4 linked regions of the Drosophila melanogaster genome follow. The protein of the gene in region 2 purifies or fractionates together with the protein of the main gene of each other region. This does not show direct contact. Each region holds a gene or a part of one and is shown on either strand. Other genes may lie near its edges. The genes, in order: mRpL22, His1:CG33825, Hrb87F and RpL7.

Evidence for each region.
Region 1: the proteins of His1:CG33825 (region 2) and mRpL22 purify together in Drosophila melanogaster (affinity purification with western blotting; one study listed by BioGRID). This does not show direct contact.
Region 3: the proteins of His1:CG33825 (region 2) and Hrb87F purify together in Drosophila melanogaster (affinity purification with mass spectrometry, with the first as the bait; one study listed by BioGRID). This does not show direct contact.
Region 4: the proteins of His1:CG33825 (region 2) and RpL7 purify together in Drosophila melanogaster (affinity purification with western blotting; one study listed by BioGRID). This does not show direct contact.

Annotation. Positions count from the first base shown.
Region 1 is NC_004354.4:16,782,229-16,785,656, forward strand, and holds mRpL22 (mitochondrial ribosomal protein L22), read left to right. Parts: upstream 1-1,704; 5' UTR 1,705-1,846; coding exon 1,847-2,116; intron 2,117-2,189; coding exon 2,190-2,403; intron 2,404-2,517; coding exon 2,518-2,735; 3' UTR 2,736-2,864; downstream 2,865-3,428. Other genes in the region: CG9609 (uncharacterized protein), read right to left, coding at 3,251-3,428.
Region 2 is NT_033779.5:21,469,610-21,472,822, reverse strand, and holds His1:CG33825 (histone H1), read right to left. Parts: upstream 1,565-3,213; 5' UTR 1,406-1,564; coding exon 635-1,405; 3' UTR 542-634; downstream 1-541. Other genes in the region: His2B:CG33894 (histone H2B), read left to right, coding at 1-228; His3:CG33824 (histone H3), read right to left, coding at 2,806-3,213. UniProt on the Drosophila melanogaster protein: Histones H1 are necessary for the condensation of nucleosome chains into higher-order structures.
Region 3 is NT_033777.3:13,656,289-13,662,331, forward strand, and holds Hrb87F (heterogeneous nuclear ribonucleoprotein at 87F), read right to left. Parts: upstream 4,244-6,043; 5' UTR 4,100-4,243; coding exon 4,052-4,099; intron 3,361-4,051; coding exon 2,349-3,360; intron 2,277-2,348; coding exon 2,179-2,276; 3' UTR 2,174-2,178; intron 2,010-2,173; 3' UTR 558-2,009; downstream 1-557. Other genes in the region: Rbp4 (RNA-binding protein 4), read right to left, coding at 1-16; B52, read left to right, coding at 5,446-5,571, 5,873-5,943, 6,009-6,043. UniProt on the Drosophila melanogaster protein: This protein is a component of ribonucleosomes. Could be needed to organize a concentration gradient of a dorsalizing morphogen (Dm) originating in the germinal vesicle.
Region 4 is NT_033779.5:10,199,203-10,202,859, reverse strand, and holds RpL7 (ribosomal protein L7), read right to left. Parts: upstream 1,857-3,657; 5' UTR 1,712-1,856; intron 1,631-1,711; coding exon 1,332-1,630; intron 1,262-1,331; coding exon 802-1,261; 3' UTR 539-801; downstream 1-538. Other genes in the region: Ripalpha (RPA-interacting protein alpha), read left to right, coding at 2,322-2,444, 2,504-2,569, 2,624-3,028. UniProt on the Drosophila melanogaster protein: Binds to G-rich structures in 28S rRNA and in mRNAs. Plays a regulatory role in the translation apparatus; inhibits cell-free translation of mRNAs.

The sequences.
Region 1 (3,428 bases), on a different chromosome or scaffold from region 2:
TATTGATTTTGGCTTTTGTGTTTGTGTTTTTTTGTCAGATTTTGTTTAATATGCGTATATTTTGGGAATTTATTTGGTCGGTGCACTTTTCACTGGTGCTGCAACACTGGAAAAAAATGTTTCAAGCAATTTGTTGGCGCGTCGCGTGTTGTGCTGTTAATAAGTAAAGTTCACTTTCAATTGGTATTGTTTGTATTATTTATATTTTGATTTGCTATTTGACATTTGGTGTTTGCTCTACCTCGGCAGCGAACGCAGCAAGATTTAAACGACGACTAATGGCGCACAGTATCTGTAAGATACATCTTAGCACCGCCAGAGATACATGGGTGAACTGCTCGTGCCAGATCGCCTACTCAATACCCAACCAATGTAGTCTCTAGTTTTTAGACTCGGGAGAGCGATCTCGGAACAAACGCAAAGCTCTCAAACAACCAAAACGATAGCAAAAGTTTTATTTTTTCATTATCTACACATGTATGTAGCGAGCATCCCACTCGAAAAAAATTTCAAAGGTGAGTTTCGTGTGGGAAGTCTGTAATTTCCGTTAGCAAAAGTTTCGACCATTTGATGTGTCATTTTGTTGGGCCATATGTACATATGGAAGAACGTTTATTTCGAAAATGGAATCACATATAAATTTATGATTTTTATGTTCATATACACAAGCTTATATCCATTCGGAAATTAAAAAAATGTATATATTTTTTAAAATTCGAAAAAGGTAAATACACTTTTTTCAAAGTTTTAACTAAATGAGCTTTGAAATCTATAAGTTTTAATTGCACGATATGCAACATTTTCGCATGTGCGTTGGTGCAAATTAATTCTGCCTCGAAAATGAGAACGCTGCAGTGAAAATGGGTTTTCCCATTTATCCAGATGGTTTAGATTCGCAATCACGAGATCTCGGAATGTAGTGCAATTCGACTATACGAGCAAATTCGCCGGCTAACCGAGGCAGAGCAAACTGGCAATGCAAATTAATGAAAACAAACAATGAGCCCTCGAAACTCCGGTAAACATTTTCGATGGCTGGATATATGTATCAGATAACACGCAAATATAAATGTTTCGCCGTTCAATTACCATCGATTGCATTTGCATACGCGAATTTGAATCAAAACTGGCGCCCGTTGAATTTCCGTTTCGAACGCGAGCGCTCCGCACTTTACACCAGGCAACTTTCGCTTCACGCCACCGAATGCAGCACTCAGATGGCTAGCAATTCCTCAGATACAATTTCAAATTTCACGCAGGGATGCCAGATCGTTGGGCGATTCAAAAGTGAGCGCGACGCGCTGTTGAGAACGATCAACTTAAGTGTATAATATTGAACTAGAATAGTTACATAGTGCATAAGGAATATTTATGTCTTTCAATTTTAATATACTTTAAAGATGGTCAATTCCAAATGGGTACTTTAATTGTTAGGTTTCATATTTTTATGAAAATGTGTATTAATTGCTAATTTGTGTGGAGATAAATGTTTCCGTTTCAATGCATTATTTTAATGGCTTCTAAATGTGAATTGCTGATATGCTCTTATTTAAGTTAATAATTTTATGTCGTACCAACTTGCTTTTACAAGTTTTTTTTTAAATCTAATAAATAAATATATTTTCAAGCAATATCGATAGCGCTGCCAGATGTTTACATATCCTAATCAAACGCTGCCATACCGCTCGCAGATCAGCCGCTTGTGCGGTACGTTTTAGGTCCACGGCATACCTGCTGCCATTGGTCACACTGGCAGATTACGCGATTATTTTTTTTACGGAAAGTCTGCGTTTTCCCTTCCGGATTGAATTGCCTGGATTTGCTGTGATAACTCAAGCAAGCTAAGATGCACAAGGTGATCCGGCAAATGTCCCAGCTGCGCCTGCAGGCGCCACAGGGAGCAGCGCTCCTCCGATCGGCGGATAGCAGCTCAATATCACCAGCCATATCACCAGTTTCACCACCTGCCCTCCAGTCGAAATCCCTGCACACGGCCGCTTCCGCCGGAATGCTGTGCGCCAAGTGGAACAAGTACAACTACGGACCCCGCAAATGGCTGGAGTACAACAAGACCGTGCATCCGCCGCAGGAAACGGACGAGGAGCCCAGAAATGCTGTAAGATACATATTTCGAACGCACTGCTGTTACCCCTCCAGCTGCAATCCTCTAATCCACTTGCATTGCACAGTATGTCTGCCACATGCGCAGCAACATCAAATACAGTCCGGACAAGATGTGGTACATCGCTGCCTTTGTTCGCGGAATGTCCGTCGACGAGGCGCTGAAGCAGCTGAACTTTGTGCTCAAAAAGGGGGCCACCGATGTGAAGGAGACCATACTGGAGGCCCAGCAAATAGCCGTGGAGCGGCATAACGTGGAGTACAAGAGCAATCTGTGGATAGGTGAGCCGCAGGGGCACAAGGAATCTATGTATCCACTATGAATGATGGATTATCATTAGTTTCTTCATCACTAACCATTATATTGATGAATCTTTGTCTGTTCTTACCTACCAGCCGAATCCTTCGTGGGCAAGGGACGCGTCTTCAAGGGCGTGAGGCGGCATGCTCGCGGTCGCTTCGGCAAAGTGGAGTACAAGCACTGCCACTACTTCGTGCGCCTGGAGGAGGGCGAGCCGCCGCAGCACTACTACCAGGAGCCGCAGACGCCGGAGCAGCAGTACGAGAGCTGGATGGAGCAGATGCGAAGCCGGAAGATCATCAACTCGCTGTAGCCACCTGAATTGGCACTCGTATGCAATCGATCCGCACTCCTGCAGTCCTCCATCGCCATCGCGTCCACGCGCATTAAGCATTTTTTTTGGTTTTAGAAGATTGTTTAATAAAATAGAAACAGACAAAAGAACTATGTCAGAGGTTCATATTGTTCTTATTTTTACTTAGAGGAGTTTATTTTATTTAGTTTTGCGCGTATATACACAATGGATATTATTGGTTTTCTCTCTGGATGCCCGAGAGTTTCGGAACTCTAGTTGAAGTCAGGGAATGTTTGCAACTGTAAGCTTAAAGTAAATAAACTAATTCGCTCCAGGCGAATACTACTAATAATAGCTTACTAATTTATGCAAATTAATGCAATTTCGGATGTTTCTGAACGCAAATCCTAAGTATTTACTGATAAATTAGTTGTTTCTCTTTTAGAAGTTGTGGTTTAAATTAAAGTAGTCATTCAATTGTTAGCCTCTTGACCAGACCTTCTCACTCCCGTCCCTTTGAATGGCCTTTTGCTCTACTCCTGCTCCTTTTCCTCTTCATCCTGCAGGGTCTGTGCCAGCAGCTCCTCGACGGGGTCATCCTTCAGCGACTGGGTGATCTTTTCGAGGACCAAAGGCTGTCGCTCGCGCACCGCCTCATCATCTTCCTTGTCCAATTGCAGGCAGGCCAGTTTGGATAGCCTCGAATGTTTG
Region 2 (3,213 bases):
GACACCGGAATTTCGTCGAAGGCGATGAGCATAATGAACAGCTTTGTAAATGATATTTTCGAGCGAATTGCTGCCGAAGCGTCTCGTCTAGCTCACTACAACAAGCGCTCGACCATCACCAGTCGGGAGATCCAAACGGCTGTTCGCCTGCTTTTGCCTGGAGAGTTGGCCAAGCATGCTGTCAGTGAGGGAACCAAGGCTGTCACCAAGTACACCAGCTCTAAATAATTTTCTCCTGCGAATGCGGACAATAATCCAAAACGGCCCTTTTCAGGGCCACAATGTGTTATACCAAAGAAATGCATTTTTCAACCACCAATCATTGAATATGAATTTACAAATAAAACTTATTTACCCGCAATATGGGTAATTGGGTAATGTTCAAATAAATACAAAAAAATCGGGAACGAAAACTGAATGCGACCAACATGCAATGTAATTCATGACATGAAACGTTTTATTGTTGCTGCGAACGTCAGCTAATAAATAAGTGGAAGAAAATAAAAGTTTTTTTCTCTTGCAACGGAACGTTGTAGCCCTGAAAAGGACTTGTTTAAACAAATTTCAGATCTATAAAACATAAATCTAAAATTTTAATTGCGAACATGTACCAAATACTGCACTTTTTCACAATTTACTTTTTGGCAGCCGTAGTCTTCGCTTTCGGCTTCTTGGCGGTAGCAGAAACCGATGCTTTCTTCACCGTCTTTTTGGGTTTTGCAGACACCGCTGGCTTTGCCTTTGACGCTTTCGCTACTACAGCCTTTGGCTTCGCTGCAGTCACTTTCGCCTTTGTTGCGGCGGGCTTCGACTTTATGATTCCAGTTTTCTTGGCATCCTTGGCTTTTGCCTTCTCAGTTTTCTTATTTTCGGCAGTCTTTTTGGTAGCCACAGCCTTCTTAGCTTTGGGCTTTTTGTCAGCAGCCCCAACGGCAGTTTTTTTGGAGGAGACACCAATCTTCTTAGAGGCTACCTTCTTGCTTTGAACTTTTTTCTCAGCAGACAAAACCTTCGACTTTGCCTTCGGATCCTTTTCCTTCTTGGCAGAGGCCGACAGTTTGAAAGATCCAGATGCACCCTTTCCCTTAGTTTGGATAAGCTTTCCATTGACCACGGCCGATTTTAAGTACTTCTTGATGAATGGCGCTAACTTTTGGGCGTCGCATTTATAAGTGGCAGTGATATATTTTTTGATTGCCAGAAGTGATGAACCGCCACGTTCCTTTAAATTTTTAATGGAAGCGTCCACCATTTGCTGAGTTGGCGGATGTGACGGCGTCGCAGAGGCTTTCTTTGCCTTTGTGCCAGCAGATCCAGATGCCTTTTTTTGGACCACTTTCTTCTCAACTGTCGCTGGTGGGGCAGCCACTGGGGAAGCGGACGTTGCAACTGCAGAATCAGACATCTTTTTTTCACTGAGAACACTTTTTTTCTGTTAAAAATGGCTCGCGCTCGGCCTACCAACCTCCTTTGCTCTGATGAGAATCGAGGAGGAGAGCACTTTAACAATGCTACTGACATCAGTCATTTACTATGTCGAAGTTTGCTTGAAGTGTAAACTCTTTTTAATTTTTTAGTATTTTAAATCATTAATAAAAATAAGGTTTTAATAGTTTTACAATTTTAAATAATTTTTTCGTCACTTTCCATTTTTAAAAGGATGTAATATGGGTTTTGAGACTTTCAAATGTTGATTGAATTTTTATATTCGAATTTTTAACTGGACCAATTTATAAAAAAACATCTAATAAAATAAGAATCATCGCAAATATTTCACTAATTCGTAATGTTTATTAAAATTGAAACGTTCATCCCCTAGAAAGGGCTTCTGAAAGAAGCGTCTATTATTAATTAAGATACTTTATCACTTGATTTAAGTTCACATTGAACTACAGAAAAATTTGCTTTAAAGCAGCATTCAGAAATAATTTTCGATCGTTAAAAATACAGATACTTTCTTAAATAACATAATATTAATATAATAAATAATATTTTCTTAAATTATTAATGTGTTTGCTTGTTATTAATGTGTTTTCATGCATATTTTAAAATAATTTGTTCTGAAATCAATCGATTTCCTCGCCACATATGCATTACCGTCTATGTAGTCAAATAAATAAATCAAATAAAAAATAAAAAGAAACAATTTTTGTATTATCCTTTATTATGTAATATATATTACATTCCGCAACAAAATTAACCAATTTCCGTGCTGAATTTTACATAGGTTTTATTTTTTACAGACGTTTGAAGGGACAGTGTCAATTGTCCCGTACGACCTCTTCAATAATAACACATTCTTCAGTTAACACATGGAAAAAATATAAAATAGCTAGTTTTATTTTATTATTTTCTGTTATTTTATAAATATTGCCGTCATCAATGTAATTTCATTAATTTCAAACTGTCTTACACAGAATTCAGATTTTTTTTTTAGATGTTTAAGGTTCAGAGTCCCTTGCCCCGCACGACACTTTCACTGCTTTAAAGGATGTTCGCACAAAGAACAAATAAAAATATATATTTTTGTATTAACCTCTTCTTTAATTTAATAAATGTTGAGCTGACAATTAAAATAAGATTATTTTTATTCCTTCTCTGGCAGAATTAGTATTTTTACATATGATTTAAGACCCAGTACCGTTTGCGCCATAAATAATAGAATATGAATTTTGTTCTTATTTTTTTAAGTTATAAATAGTCGGCCACAGAAAATTTTATCTCATTGAATCTGGTTTGTGGTCCTGAAAAGGACCGATTATAGAGTACGCTAGCGCTTTATCTGCAAGTTAATGCCGTGTCAGCTTAAGCACGCTCGCCGCGAATGCGTCGCGCTAACTGGATGTCTTTGGGCATTATGGTGACACGCTTGGCATGAATGGCACACAAGTTGGTATCTTCGAAGAGACCAACCAGGTAGGCTTCGCTAGCTTCCTGCAGAGCCATAACCGCCGAGCTCTGGAATCGCAAGTCCGTCTTAAAGTCTTGAGCGATTTCACGCACCAGACGCTGGAAAGGCAGCTTGCGGATTAGAAGCTCGGTGCTCTTTTGGTAGCGACGAATTTCACGCAAGGCCACGGTTCCAGGGCGATAGCGGTGGGGCTTCTTCACACCTCCGGTGGCTGGAGCACTCTTGCGAGCGGCCTTAGTAGCCAGTTGTTTGCGTGGCGCCTTTCCACCAGTCGATTTGCGAGCAGTTTGCTTGGTACGAGC
Region 3 (6,043 bases), on a different chromosome or scaffold from region 2:
AATTTCCCGCATCCATTTTCGAAGAGATGTCAAAATTAAAATAGCCTGATTTACTACAGCACTCAGGTGAAGCCAACCACAAATTGAATGACAGGCAAGAAAATCCAAACGTCTATAGTTATGGACTATCGAAAAAGGTCCAAAAATATTGTTGCCACATTTAGATGATTCAGCATTATTGGATGCAAATGGGCCAATAAATCGATAGGGTTTGAATCCTTAAAGCGTAACCCTATAAATCCCTATAATATCGCCTCTTTTGCTTCGTAGTCCTAGCAAAAAACCCTACTTATGCATTATTAGAAGAAAAACCCCATTGATCTCATAAGAATTTAGTTCGTAATACAATCCAGAAAGCTAGGTCCTTCGAAAACCGGCTATAATCCACTGAACATTTATGGTATTCATAGAACAAATTGTTCTTGGTAGTGAAAGTTCTTGTCACTTTTAGATGATTCAGCATTATTGGATACAAATAGGCCAATAAATCGATAGGGCCTAAACCCTTATACGTAACCCTATAAAATATCGCCCCCAGAAAATAAAATACAGCTCTTGTTCTTGCTAGTAAAAGTTGTACTTTATTGAAAAATTCAGAAACAAATGAGGTGTTAGTAGAATACCGACTAGTTACCTTCACTTACCTCCGCTGTACCCACCAAGTTAGCCAGAAGGGAGCCACCAACCAAAGTCCACCAGTGAGTTCTTCCTGGGCCACCGCTTGCTTTGCGGTCTAAAACCATTAACTAATACCTGGTGGAAACGAACCGGTGCGTGGAGCAGCCCAGATTTCGTATACGGACCCGGGAGGGAGCTTCCGTCCGTAGCCCGGCCAGTCTTGCAAAGAAATAGTCAGTGCATTAGTATGCGGCGGTTTGCCCGGGGGTTAGGTGGTGGGGGTCTCTAGTGACGGTAATTAGCCCTGCCCGCTACCCTGCCGATCTGGGATGGATCGGAAAACCCGGATTTTGCTGCAGTTGCTGCTCCTCTTTGCTAGGGCATTGCTCCTGTGATTATTTCGTTTCGTTTCATTTTGGGTGGGTAGGTAACATTGGTTAGGATTTTATTTTGCTTGTATCTCTTTGTCGCTTTCGTTTCACTCGTAACGAACTAATTACAGAATGTTTGTGATATTTGTTTAGCGTTTTTCTTTTTAGTCTGGCTTAACGTAGCATCTACTTCTTAGGGACTAACAGAGTTGGTATGCATATATGGATTTTGCTCGCTAGGACACCATTTCTCGGCCACTGTGCAGCCTGTACACAAATGTGCGTGGCATTCGCATTTCAGGAGTTGGGATCTTACTTGCCACAAATCATAAAGGTTCTTAGTTGTACAAAAAAAGTGATTACAAAATATGGTACTATTTGATTTCTTACATTTCGCTGGATCGCTAAAAACAATAAAATCATGAATAAATATAAAGAAAGTGCTCTACCTTATAACACCCTTACAACGACTGAATCTCAAGGAGAATCCGTCGCCGCTCAGTTGGTAGTCAATTTTGTACAATAAAATTATTGTTTAATTTATATTTTGTTGTGTTTGTTTCTTTTGTTTGTTTATGGTTAAAACTAAGCGTTCGGGGTTCTTAGGACCCTAAACATAAATCGATCAGCGAATTATTAATGGTTACAAAAGAGAGATAGCAGCATTCAAACTGTGGACAAGTGGCGTCGATTGGATTTCGTTTCGTTTCGCTTTTGGCTGTTTTGCTTGACGCATAATCATTTGCTTGGTGCTTTTGACAAGTGGATTATGGCTATAGCCTGCAGGTTGCGGCCGGACCCAAACCTGATTGATTGATTTATCGTTTGCATTTGCGCACGGCCTGGTTCTTGGTTCTGCATCTTGATTTCTTGGTTCTGATCTTGTCTGCCTGGTCTGACACACACATGCTACTGATTGCCTGCCTGTGAATGTGCTTGTCCCTCTGCATCTGCCTGCCTAGACTGCCTGTTTGTCGTCTAGCTTGAACTGACACACTCTCTCTCTCTATGTGTGTTTACCTAGTTGCGAAAGAGGAGAAAATTTTGCATTAGCTTCGAATCGTTCCGAAATGAGTTTGATTGCATGGCTAGGCTACCAACTAGCTGCCAATAACGACCAAAGATCCGAGCGTTTGAGATTGTACGATGGGATAGGACCTGTCGTCCAGGTTATCTATATTTACCTTGTCTAGTAACGTCTATTGCCGCCTCCCATATTTCCACCCTGGCCACCACCTCCGGTGTTGTAGTTGTTGCCAGCAAAGCCTTGACCTCCACCCTGGTTACCTGTAAAAAATAAATGCATGGTTTAAGTACATTATGTACATTATGGTCAAATCACTTAATAACCCAACATACCCTTGTTGAATCCTCCACCACCACCTCCTTGACTGTAAGGAGCTGGACGGTTGTTGCCAAAGTTGCTGTTGCGCTGTGGACCGCCGCCGTAGCTCTGCTGGTATTCATTTCCGAAGCCACCGCCACCACCACCTCCACCACCGTTACCGCCCCAGCTGCCATTGCTGTTTCCGCCGCCGTAGCCGCCGCCACCACCACCGTTCCAGCCGCCGTTGCCGCCACCCTGGTTATTCCATGGACCACCTCCGCTTCCGCCTTGCTGATTCCAACCGCCAGAGCCGCCGCCCTGACCGCCTCCAAAGTTACCGCCGCTGTTGCCGAATCCTCCGCCGCCGCCAGCTCCGCCCCAGTTGCCCCCACCGTTCTGTCTGTTCTGGCCTCCCCAGCCACCGCCTCCCTGGCCGCGGTCACCCTGACCACCGCGACCGCCAGCTCGAGGACCTCCGCGTCCGCCACCTCCGCCCTGTCGATCCATATCCTGCTTGGCAATAGCCTTCTTCACGTCCAGGGTCTTGTTCTTGATGGAGTGGGTCTTCTGAAGGATGATTTTGTCAACGGGATCGTAGTCATCGAACTCAATGAAGGCGAAGCCGCGCTTCTTGCCGGTGTCCTTGTCGGAAACAATGTTCACGCTCACGATCTGGCCAAAGTCCTTGAAGTACTCGCGCAGGCACTCTTCATCGTGATCGTCTCGAAGCCCGCCCACAAAGAGCTTCTTTACCGTGGCTCCCGCATTCGGGGAATCGATCTCCTGGCGTGGCACAGCCCTCTTGGGCTCCACGGTGCGTCCATCGATCTTGTGTGGCCTGGCATTCTGCGCATTGTCGATCATGTACGACTGGGAGTACGTGATGAAACCGAAGCCGCGAGAGCGCTTCGTCTTGGGATCCTTCATCACCACCACGTCGACAATGTTGCCCCACTTCTCGAAGTGAGCCTTCAGGCCATCATCTGTGGTGCGGTAGTCCAGTCCGCCGATGAACAGTTTGCGCAGCTGCTCTGGCTCGGTGATCTGCGGGTGAATTTCAAATGCATTAGCTAAAGACGTTCTATAATTTAAATAATTTCTAAAAACAAAAAAAAAACCCATTGATTCGAAAATAAGTTGTAATATTAAATTAAATTAATTGATTTCTTTGGACAAACTTTGCGAAAAATGTATAAATTTATATAATAAAAAAAAAAATCATACTGTATCTAAATGAATAAATGTATAAAAAATATTTAAATGTATAATAAGTTGCTGTAAATTTAATAAAAAAATAAGTTGCTGTCAATAAGTCAATAAGTTTATGTCAATAAAACGATAAAAGTGCAAAATCATCCTTGATCAACAAGGATTTGCCATTGTTTATAATAGTAATTTACCTGGCGAGAAAAAGCCGCTCGCCATATTTTTTTTTTTTTTTTTTAGTATTTGCACCGCCATGACAGCCCGTATATGTGTATGTATGTATGAATTTTCGTTTTCTTTTTTATCAAACAGCCGGCAACTTTTTTATCGGAAATTGCTTATATTTCTCGCCAAAAGAGGTCGATAAACTTTTAGCTGGCTAAATTCGCACAGGGATCGATGGCCCCCATAATTCGGTAAAAAAGCGGCGTGAATGTATATTATACACGAATATTGTCGGCGTCGACATTTTGCACTTTCACGCGCGATGAACGATTTACAAACAGCAATTGGTCATTCTGCAACTCACCTCTTCACCATCGTCGTAGTTTCCGTTGGAATCGTTTTGTTCCGCCATTCTCTCCTTGGTTGTTCAAGAAGATGGAAAGTTTAAACACCGAACGCAGGAAATATTTTTTTTGTTTTTGTTCTTTTTTGACGGCAGACTGGCAATAAATGAAATGTACAGCACGCACAATGAGAATGGAGTGAGCAGTATGACCAGGTGTCGAGAACGGGGTAAAGTCGGAAAATCGGACGCCACGTGGAATCGGAACGATTGTTTCGGTGCGTTAGGGGTGTTCCTCGACAATTAAGCTGATGCCACACTTGATTTTATATATCTTCATATAAATTTGTATTCGTCTAGTAAGGGCTTAAAAATATTAGACAAGTTTATTGTATATATTTCTGAACAAACGGATTTGAATGTATTATCTTTATAAATGGATTATGATAATTACTACCACGATAACCCAAGAAACATTTAATATGTTTAACTTTTTAGCTAAATATGTATTATTATTAATACCGCTTACATAACTCTTTCTGCGAGCATTCGCTTTAGCTGGGGCGATGGAAGGCTTCACTTTAAGAGATAACTTGTAAATTATTTTGTATTGAATTGTATATTTGTAAGTAGCCAGCTAAGGGTCAATCAATATTACAATTACGGGATCTATGAGGCATTTGGGAATAAAAAAAGACATCGTGCGAAATAAATTAATAAATCCAGAAACATTTTATGTATATCATCAAATCAGAAACGTTAAAAAATGCTAATGAGTGCTTGCTAGCAGATATCAAAATAAAAAGGTTGTTAACAGTATATTCAAATGCTACTACTAAGTATATTTAATGTTTATTCTTTTCATAGCGGAACACGAACAGCAACTGGAATACCCTTAACGCAGCGAAACGCATTGCCCGCCCAAAATATCGATAGGCGAAAAAGTATCGTTCCATTCCGCCTTTGGAATGACTGTCAAACATCGCTTTCGTCTGTCACTTTCACTTCCGTTTGTGTCGAGTCGCTTGCGTTTTTTCGTGTGGGAAAGCCTGAAAAAGAGAGAGTACGGCAGCGACTTAATTGTAAATTTGCCACAAATATCCTTCACTGAACGGTACGTGCTAGTGAGTACGCTTAAGTGAAGAACAGCGCGTATTTCGCGTTGTTAAATTAACTCGTTTTTGCAGCGGTTCTGTACACCCGGTACATTGCGAGCGTGTGTGTGTGTATGTGGTGGCCGCCATCTTGGCGAAACATACACGGCGCGTACATATGTGCGTTTTTTTTTTCTTCCATTCCTAAAGGACAGTCGAGCAAAATAGAAGCTGCAAACTGCAACGGTTCCCTTGCTGATATATATATATATACTTCACTATTTTATAGCACCTGCTCCAGATACGTAAGGAACCGTTATCATGGTGGGATCTCGAGTGTATGTGGGCGGTCTGCCCTACGGAGTGCGCGAGCGCGATTTGGAGCGCTTTTTCAAAGGCTACGGCCGCACACGCGACATCCTCATCAAAAATGGCTACGGCTTTGTGGTGAGTACAAAATATCATATTTAACTGGAATATGTAAAAAAAAAAAATCGGTTAAATTTGATTTGAAGACATTTCTGCATTTCTCTGTTTGTCTATAGGTTTCCTAACATTTCAAGCCGACCCTTGAATACTTTTTTTTTCTTTTTGAACCTATATTTGTTCCATCATTTGTCTGTCAAATACAGTGACGCTTAAAAACTGTTCTTAAATTCACCCAGCGTATTTCCATAAGAGTATGCACAGGCAGGGTAGCTTCAATACTAATTCCATAATCAATACTAATCACTAATTGAATTTTCAGGAATTCGAAGACTATCGTGATGCCGACGATGCCGTCTATGAACTGAATGGCAAAGAGCTGCTTGGCGAACGGTGAGTTGTTAGATATAAGCCAAAGTACGAAATGACTCACGATTGTATGTTCTATATTTTTGCAGTGTGGTTGTTGAACCCGCCAGGGGTACCGCTCGTG
Region 4 (3,657 bases), about 11 Mb from region 2:
AACGGCATGTGCTCCATGTGGTAACGATTAATTAAATTATACATTTAAAAAGGGTGCCAGCTTCCTCCCGATTATTGACTAATTTCCATGCTATTGGAATTTACAATTTATGTTTGTTTGCTAACTGCTTTGGACTATTGTGTGTGTAAAAAAAAAAAAAACGATTTAAATCCACTGCCAGCTGAAAGGCAAACCATGATTCAATAAAGTGTACATTGGCAAACGATTTTTATCCCTGGCACCCTGAATCTAGCTTGCTATCTGCATTTAAGTGTTGTGCACTAAGCGCGCTTAAAATTTGACCAGAACAACAATAAACAATCTAGAGCGTAGACAAATTAACAAGAATCCTGTGTTTTCATTTCAAATAATGGGCCTACAAAAGCAAACTGTCTAAATTTTAAATTTAAATATTGCTATACATCGAATTATTAACGATTAGCAAACCAAAAAATTATACTGAACGTGGGGTTAATCTTAGCAAAGGGCAAGACTTTCTGGAGTACCGCAGAATTCTTTAAAGTAAAAATGTAACATTAAAATGAAAGAAAATTACTAAATTTAAAGTTGTTATGAAACTATTGGTACATTTAACTAAACGTTCCTTAAAAAAGTCCTCTCTCTCTTCACTGATATTTTCCAATTTAAGTCGCAATGACTAAATCAGCGAATCGAAGCGAAAACACTGCGTTTTTGTACTGAACGGCATTTCGTGGGTTTATAAAAGTAACTTTTATTTCTCTCACTGTTTACATCGAACCGCTGCAGTTGTCGTTTCAGCACATAAATCAAAAGGAGTCCTTAGACCATCTTGCGCAGCAGACGGTTGATCTGGTCCTCGCGGTTGCCGAAGTCACCACCGTTGACATAATGGTTGGCCTTCTTGCGCCAGCCGCCGGTGGGGGTGTTTAGCTTGAAGGGCCACAGGAAGTTGGAGGCGTACTTGAAGTTGGGCCCCACGGTGAAGATCTCATGGACAAGATCCTCGACGCACTGAATTTGGTGCGCCTGACGCAGCTTCCGCTCGATCACGAAGTTATCGGTGATGGGCACGCGCTGGCGGTTATGCTTCACGAATCCACGCTTGTAGATCAGCTCCCGCACGGACTTCAGATTGGGATAGCCCCAGGTGATGTAGGGCTCGGCGATGCGCAGCATGTTGATGGTGGCCTTGTTCAGCTTGATGAACACACCGTTGTTGATCTGCCTCAGACGGAACAGCTGCAGAACCTTGCGGACCTTGGGAGCCACCTTGTTGATACTGTTGGCGGTTAATGGGATTGGGCATGAATTGGTGTGACTTGTGCATGGAGGAGCATTAGAGGACTTACCCGCGGATACGGACGACAAAGGCCAATTTGGCCTCGGCGGGCACGTAGAACTGGTTGCGCTTCTTGGCCAAGCGACGCAGCTTGATCTCGCGCTGTTCCGCCTTGATGTACTCATTCTGGTACTTCTCGGCGCGGACCAGGTTCTCCTTCTTGCGCAGGGCAATCACGGCGGCCTTCTTCAGGCGACGTTTCGACTCGGCGACTCGCTTGGAGATTTGTTTCTTGCTGAACTTCAGCTTCGATTCCGGCACGGCGGGCAGCTTTTTCGCTGCTGGCTTCTTGACGACCGGAGCAGGCATCTGTGGGCGGCACAAAACAATGGCATTTGAGCGGTTTCCTTTCACTTTGGATGGTATTTTTATTGAAAATATCGCACTAACCTTTTACTAGTCACTGCACACGCTGGTAAAAGAAAGGGAAAGAAAGACCGGAAACGTGCTATACGCCAACTTCGGGCTGTCAAATCGGTACAACCCTGCTTTCAGTGCTGCGAAATGCGTGCACACGTGACACGCGCGCCATCGGCCAAACGGTCACACTGGCCGCGGAGTGGGCTATCGAAGAAGTGCCACCACTAGCAGAGCAACAGCAAATTGCGCGGATTTTTTTTTTTAGCAAAAAAGTTGTGTTTTTCAACTATTTCCGATTGCTAATTACTAGGTAAGTTGGTTAAACATGTTAATAGTGTATTTAAGCCGCCCTTAGTTCATGAATTCATTGTGCGAGCTGTCTTCATGGGCTGTGTTAAGTAATACTACTTATTTTATAATCTTTTATATATATGTGGAGATGAGTCGTATCTTACATTTACTTCATTTCACTTAATTTACCTAATTAATTTTGAATACCGTATACTTTTTAGATCACTATCAATCACCAACAGCGCTATAAAATTGGAACCTTGCCTTATTGACGACACTGACCTACCATATCTAGTTAAAAAAAAAGATTAAAAACAAACAAAATAACCACATATACAAATAAACCGAAATGAACTCCACTCAAAGCCCGGTTTATCGCACCTCCGTGGAGCAAAAGCGGCATGCTCAAGAAGTGGCCAAAAGACAGCGGATGGGCAACCAAATGCCAAGACTTCGCGAAATGCTGCGAGAGGTAAAGACATCAGTGTACCCCTTAAAGTACCAATATACTTACACATAAATACCCTGTAGAAATACCGCAAGCGCATCATAGAAACGCGCAATAGATGCACGGATGCCCAACGAGAAATCCAATTGGTAGGACATACAAATCTCCATAGTAAGCCCATCATAAACCACCCATTTTTTCAGTCCGAACTCAGGGAAATCCTGCGCCTGGAACTCAGTGAGCTAGAGAAGGATGTGGAGCTTGAGGAGCTGATTCTGGAGGAGCTACTATCCGATGTCAACGAGTGGTATGCCCTGGGCGAAAAGAATCTGGAAACGCTATACGCAGAGCCCGATGAGCAGCAAAAGGAGGTTTTATGCCCAGTTTGTCAGATTAAAAACCTACGCCATCACAAAGGTGCCTTCATCTGCGAGTGTGGCATCCGCTTCGAGCACTCTGCGAACATGGAACAGCTGCAGATACTGCTGCAACAACAAATCGCCAGCCATGAACTTCAGTGCACTCAGGCCCTGCGATTTTTCATCGAACCCGCTTCGGGACAACTATACGACATGTGCGGCAGCTGCGACTACTTCTCCTCCGTCTAGGTCGTTTATGGAGCTGGTTTCTACCGCTGACTGCTGATAGCTAGTTTAAAGGAGTTTATTAGTTATAATAAGATAAGTTACATAAGTTAAACTTCAGACAGTCTTATCAGTTTGGAAAACCAGAGATCTGCACAGAAGATTTTTTAGATCCGAAGGCTTTATATGCGTATTAAATTTTTGAAACAGTGATACATGATATTCCCCCCCTAATTAATCTAAATCCAAAGAATGATATGAGTTATGGCTAGAAATGAGATCTTTAAGCATATTGTTATAATTGCACAACAAATTAAAATTAAAATCTTAGGAATAACAGATTTATAAAATGTATTCTAGGCTCTTACAAAATTCAAACTAAACCATTCTTCTAATGTGGCATTCTAGATTAAGAAAATAAATCAGGTGCGAGACTAAGTTTGATTTATGAATATAAAACGTTTTTCTCTGCTTATTGTAAAGTTTAACAAACTATTTATTAATTGCTTATAACTTCTGGTTCGCTTCGAGTTGATTTAGTGCATCATATATGGGTCGATGGTATCAGTGGGCTGGCACCCCACGATTCCGGCGATGTGGGAAGAGCTTTTTCCCATCGCGCACGTGCGCGATCCCCCAGATTCAGATTCAGA